Caenorhabditis elegans: one gene and its partner. The protein of the gene in region 2 interacts with the protein of the main gene of each other region in a pairwise test. Each region holds a gene or a part of one and is shown on either strand. Other genes may lie near its edges.

Evidence for each region.
Region 1: the proteins of pole-4 (region 2) and pole-3 interact in a two-hybrid assay, tested with the Caenorhabditis elegans proteins (2 studies listed by BioGRID).

What each region holds. Positions count from the first base shown.
Region 1 is NC_003281.10:6,461,467-6,464,599, reverse strand, and holds pole-3 (DNA polymerase epsilon subunit 3), read left to right. Parts: upstream 1-1,743; 5' UTR 1,744-1,752; coding exon 1,753-2,019; intron 2,020-2,062; coding exon 2,063-2,192; intron 2,193-2,246; coding exon 2,247-2,263; 3' UTR 2,264-2,384; downstream 2,385-3,133. Other genes in the region: dlc-1 (Dynein light chain 1, cytoplasmic), read left to right, coding at 836-927, 1,208-1,385; algn-1 (Chitobiosyldiphosphodolichol beta-mannosyltransferase), read right to left, coding at 2,418-3,133.
Region 2 is NC_003280.10:14,967,850-14,971,159, reverse strand, and holds pole-4 (Transcription factor CBF/NF-Y/archaeal histone domain-containing protein), read left to right. Parts: upstream 1-1,805; 5' UTR 1,806-1,814; coding exon 1,815-2,012; intron 2,013-2,068; coding exon 2,069-2,153; intron 2,154-2,202; coding exon 2,203-2,459; 3' UTR 2,460-2,527; downstream 2,528-3,310. Other genes in the region: metl-2 (tRNA N(3)-methylcytidine methyltransferase), read right to left, coding at 241-831, 906-1,250; 26S rRNA (cytosine-C(5))-methyltransferase nsun-5, read right to left, coding at 1,411-1,512.

The DNA of each region.
Region 1 (3,133 bases), on a different chromosome or scaffold from region 2:
TAAACACATTCATGCTCGTCTCACACAACAACCTCGCAGTTTCTTCCAACGCCCTTCACTTTTTCTTTTTTTTCTCCTTCTTCTCGCTCCCACCAACACCCCAAAACATTTTGAAATACGCGGGCACGCGCCTGTTTGCATTTGAGTGCGCGCGCATTGCCCCGACGACAGCCGAGTCGCACACTCCAACACAGCCGGGTCGCGTGCGACGCGGCTGTGCAGCGTGCGACGCGCCCCGCCTATCTCGCTCTCGGCTTCGCTCAGCCATCTTCTCTTTCGTCTCCCAATGCCACCCATTCCTCCACTCTTTGAAACTGTTATCTTTTGGCTCACTTCATTCTCCTCCACTTTCGATATCTTTTCTCTGTTGTCTTACGAATGCTGCTGCTGATAAATGCGTACAATCTGATGTGTACTCTTATCGAAAAAGTAGCCTGTTTGTTGACATGAAATATCTTTTGAAAAAAGTTCCCGATGACACATAACTGGGGAACTCTTCTTCTTTCATCTATTTCATTATTTCTAAACTGTTCAGATTTAAACAATTCACGTCAAAAGTTTTTCATGTTGCGGGCGCAAATACTCTGTACTCAAGTGCCTCCGAGCTTTGCAAATTATATTTTTAATACTCTGAAGAGCCTTATTCGTACTAACATACTCCTGTTTCGTGTCATAAATTGGGTCGCTCAAATAATTACCTTGCCGTTCTTCCATTATCCTTATCTATCTCTTTGACCTCCGCATTCCGCATTCACAACCGTTATTATAACTACTACCGAGTACCCGGTGTTCAATTAATTTAATTTTGTATTTTTTGCAGCCAAATCCGTTCAAAATGGTTGACCGCAAGGCTGTGATCAAGAATGCCGACATGTCCGATGACATGCAACAGGACGCCATCGACTGCGCCACCCAGGCCCTCGAGAAGTGAGTTATGAGCTTTCTCATTGCATTTTAAACGCTTGAATAATTCGATTGCCATGAACAACACTTGGTCGCTTAGTAGAGAAAAAGTGTAAAGAAATGTCGTTTAGCTGTTTGGAACGGCTCATCGGTCCCTTGATTTAAACTAAAGTGGACGGCAGCCCGAGTCTAGGGGAGGGGGCGAGCAGGAGCGACCAGCTGATCGAACAAATCTGATCCTTGTGCAAGAAAAAAGCGAAGCGATGAAAGTCTAAAAAATAAAATCAAAACATTTTTTTTTCAGATACAACATCGAGAAGGATATTGCCGCTTACATCAAGAAGGAGTTCGACAAGAAATACAACCCAACCTGGCATTGCATCGTCGGAAGAAACTTTGGAAGCTACGTGACCCACGAGACTAAGCACTTTATCTACTTCTACCTTGGACAGGTCGCCATCCTGCTATTCAAGTCTGGATAAATCCCATCCTGTTCTTAAAAAACATTCAATGATCTTTAAATTGTGACCTGATCCTACGTGTACCTTAGGTGGCGTAGGATCTTCAGTGTGCACTCTTGTTAAATCTTCCTTTTCCTCCCAAAAAACATTTTCCTTCGTCGCATTCTATTTATTTAGCTCAAACTGTTCATTTTCTTTGAATCTTCCTCCATCACCCATAAATCTTCTTACGTTGTCCGTTTTTGAGAGAAAAGAGAACTCATAATATTTTTGTTCTCGAAAAGTGCTCGCACTAAAAGTAAAAATAAAAGGATAGCTTTAAATCCCTTAATTATCTGTGCTTCATTTTTATACTCGAAACTGAACAAGGCAATAATTTAAGATAGAAATGTCATCAAACGATGTGGATCAAAACGATGATCGAATTGCTCAAATGATGATGCCAGCAGCAATTGTGACTCGGCTCATGAAAGAAGACAATATTTCTGCATCAAAAGATGCTCGAGACGTCATCGCTCGTGCTGCAGCAGTGTTTCTCATAAACTTGTCCGACGTTTCGGCTCAATCTGCTCGCGATCAGAAGCACAAGACGATCTCAGGAGATGATGTTGTCAAAGGACTCCGAGAGCTTGAGAATACTTCTATTCACAATCATGTAATTATGGGTTTCGAAAGAGTTAAGAAATTAAAATTTCCAGTGCAAGTCCGCCAACGATAAATGGAAAGTTATTAGTCAGCAGAAGGCTCTCGCTCGTAAAAATCCAGTTGAATCCAGCTCTGTCAATGCTGAAATGGATGACGACATTATTGACGATACTCCTGTCGATGGTTAGTTCTATTCTTTAAATCTGAAGTTTATCTGAATAATTTATAATATTGCAGATTCATTGATGAACTGATCACTCATAACCAACTCATTCCTGCTCAAAACGATCCTTCCTGTAAAATCTCATTCCGATTCTCAACGCGTGTCCCACTTTTGTCTCTAACATTTCACTTTGATAAACAATTTTGGCCAATAGTTTATTGAATGTACAAAACCCCGAAAAAAAATTAAAGCGATCTGAATGCCCCCGAAAAAGTGCCCATAAATAAGTGAATCGGCATGATCAATAAAATAGCGAAAAATGAGAATTGAATAATTGCACGAAGTTTGGCGAATCCATTGTCTGGAACTCGAAAGTCTGCACCAGAGGTAGCTGATCTCTTCCACATCACTTCCCAAGAATCGAATTTTTGCTCCTGTGTATTCTTCTTGAGCCGTATCAATTCATTGCAATTATTTGGGAATCCACGAGAAAGTTCAATAATTTGACGACTCAACTGCTCAGAATCATCGAAAAGATATCCATTAGTTTTCTCCTCAACGAGCTCATCAATACATTTGAATTTTAGAGCCAATGCTGGAACTTTAGCTCCAAACATATCAACAACTTTCATCGGAAGATCCAATCCAGACGTGCTTGTGTGCAAAGAGATTCCTAAGTCAGCAGAGGCTAGAATCTTTGGATAATCTTCTGCTTCCAACCATGGAGTCAATACATCGACATTCTTCAGATTTTTCTCGTGAATTTCTTGTAAATATTTCGCTTTCAGTGGACCTTTTCCAGTGATAATCATCAAAACTCGCGGGAGTCCGATTGTTTTGTCATATGCAACCAGCGCATCGAGAAGAATTTCAAACCGTTCATCAGGTGTCCAGGATGTGGAAGAGAGAAACACAATGGGTCGAGTTGTTAGTAGCTGCACTACTCCGTTCGAAGATTTAT
Region 2 (3,310 bases):
TTTTTGAGCCAAAATTTCACAAATTTTGCACCTTTTTCACCAAAAAAAAATTCGAAAAATCCAATTTTCAATTGGAAATTTGAAATTCGATCAGTTTTTACTAGAAAAATTGAATTTTTGCCTTTTTCGAGACAAAATTTCACAATTTTTAGTTATTTTTCACTGAAAAATGAGTTTTCGAGCCGATTTTCTAGATTAAAAACAACAATTTCAATAAAAAAAAAAACAAAAAAAAATCAATTAACAAGACTTCAAAAATTTGCCCTGAATCCACTGCCGGTACATTTTCACTTGTTTCGCTCGATTCACAATGAGCCGTCGATCCACGTGCATCACTTTCTTCTGAAGCCCGTGCTCGGCGAGCAGCGTCTCCAACTCTTCCATATCGAAGAAATAGACCAGGGTTCCGTCTCCTCGGCAGTACAAATTTCCGTCGATTAGTCGATCTTTTTTGAATCGCAACTGCGTTAAATCGTATCTCCCGTAGTCTTTGAGCAGCAGACTTCCACCGGGTTTGAGCAGCCGGACGAGATTTTTCAGAGCATTTTTGATATTATCCGGATGGATAGCCGACAGCACGTAGATACACACAATATAGTCTAGAGATCCGACGTTTGGAGCCTCCTGGGAAGCCGGTTGCGTGATATCCCACACAAATGCGTTCATTTTCTCCGGATCGTAGGCGTCCTGGGATTTCAGGACTCGAATCGCGTTTGGAGCATAATCACAGCTGTGCAGCATGAGCCGGGAGCTGGAATTGTTCACTTGGAGCAGTGGGAACGTGGTATTTCCGACGCCACAGCCAACTTCCAGTATTTCTATCTTTTCTTTCTGAAAATCAAGGTTTTTTTATGTTTTAATGTTTTTTTTTTGAATATTTAATGCTCAAATTACCTGTAAATTACCTGTAAATTACTCTCATCCTCCACATTAAGCTCTGGGAACTCTTTTAACAGCCAATTCCTGTCTTTGAAGAATCTATTCTCATTATGAGCATAAAAAGCATCCCATTGATCCGCTGGGGTGCTTAAAAGCCGCATCGCCTTCTCCTCATCAACCTTCATCGACTTTTGACCTTGCACAATCCGCTGAGCTTCTTCCTGTTGCTCTGGGGACCATTCCACGTCGTCCCATGCGTTGTGCTCGAAAACTTTGGTGTCATCGGTCAAAAATCGGGTTCCGAAGGGGTTGCATTTGGGTTTTTCGTCGGGATTCTCTTCGGCGCAGGCCATGATTGGCTCGTCTTTCATTTTATTACCTGTGAGAATTGGAAAATAATTTAAACAATGGATTTTGAGAGGTAGAAAACGAGATAAAACGGAAGAAAATCCAACAGCAAAAGAAGAAACAGAGCAAATAATAAAATATTGCTTTCCACGAATTGATTTTCCGTAAAACTGCTAAACTAACTTTATACGAACTCCCGTAGACCGCATTTCTCACACTTTTCTCCTTGGCCAAAACGCAGCGGATAATTTCGGCGACCTCGTTGTACAGCGCATCGGTTGCCATCTAAATTTGAATAGTTTTCGACAAAAAATATAATTTTTCAATAGTGGAAAGCAATATTTCAAGATGAAATTGAGAAAAAAAGCAAGAAACATTAGAAAAAAAGAATTAAAAATATTTTTTGCAATGGAGCGCACTTTCTCGTCTGCCTTTGCGCGTGATGGTGTTTGCGTCCAGAGCGGAAAAAATTGAAAATTTGATTTTTTAAATTTATTTTTTTTCTGATTTTTCGCATTTTAAAATGCATTTTCTATTGTTTTTCTTCAAATATTTGCTTAATTTTGAATATTTTTCAGATTTAAAACATGGCCTGGCGAAAGAAAACCAAGAAAGCCGCTCCGATCGCGCAAATGAGCGAGGAGGACGTGCGAGAAATCGAGGAGCACGTCGAAGAGCTCGTCCGATCGCAATTGCCACTGGGAAGAGTCAAAAAAGTGGTCAGAATGAATCCGGACGTCGAGATGCTCAACAATGAGGCACTGCAATTGATGGCGAAGGCGGCGGTGAGAGAAAATCGCATTTTTTCTTCGAATTTTCATTATATTTTTTTAATTTCCAGGAGCTCTTCATCAAGGAGCTGAGCAACGCGGCGAATCAGAACGCAGCGCTGGAAAAACGAAAAACCGTCCAGACGAAGGACATTGGTTGGTGGAAAAAACTCAAATTTCAGCTAATAAAATCGATTTTTTGCAGATAAAGCTATCAAGAAGACGTGGGCCTTCGCTTTCCTGGAAGATGCTCTGGATGGGTGGCCGAAGTTGGAGCCAAAGAAGCGAAAAGTGAATGCGAATTCCGGTCAGGATGAGACGGTTGTAGAGGAGGAAACGATTATCGAGGAAGAAGAGGAGATCCACGTGGAAGAAGAAGAAGATGAAGAGCTTCCGGAGACCGTTCTCGAAATCGATGAAAATGAAGAAATCGCGAGAGATAAATTTGCCGAGCAATTTTGATTTTATATATTTTTGTATTTAGTTTTGATTTTTTTCTCTTTATTTGAATAAATTTACTTACATCAACGATTTATTCTTCTTCGTCTAGTCACTTTTTTTTCAGGGAAAATAAATTTTCAGGAAGGTCCTTCGGAATTAGAAATGGACAGCAATTTTTGATTTTTTTTTTCGCCAAAAATACGGTATCGGGTCTCGACGCGACAAATTTTTGAAAAATATGTGCGCCTTTAAAGAGTACTGTAGTTTCAAACTTTCGTCGCTGTTGAATTTTAATCGATTTTTAAAAAAGTTTTCTTTGATTTATAATTATGATATATTCATGAGTTAAAAATATATTTATTCATATTAATCCTGAAAATATGAAAAAATCAATAAAACTCCAAAGCAATAAAAGTTTGAATATACAGTACTATTTAAAGGCACACACCCTTTTGCATTTAACAAAAATGTATTTATTTATCGTGTTGAGACCGGTTTCGCGTGTAATTTGGAAATGACTCAATTTTTTTAAGTAAAAAATTTTTTTTTTAAGTAACGAAAATACTTTTAAAAAACATGCGAAATCATTTGAATTTACGGTTTTGCCGCAAATACCTAACGAGACCCAACAATTAGGGGCTTTTAACATTTGTTTCCGTTTTAAAAAAAATATTTTCATAGAACTTGCTTACTTTTCAAAATAGATGTAGGAAAATTCATAGGATGCGTACAATTTTGCCGATTAAAATTGAAATTCTGAAATTTCCAAAAAAAAAAGTGCAAAACGCAATTGCTGTTTTCCGGCAAATTCGGCAAATTGGCCAATTTCTGCCGATTTACCGGAAATTTTAAATTCCGTCAATTTGCCGATT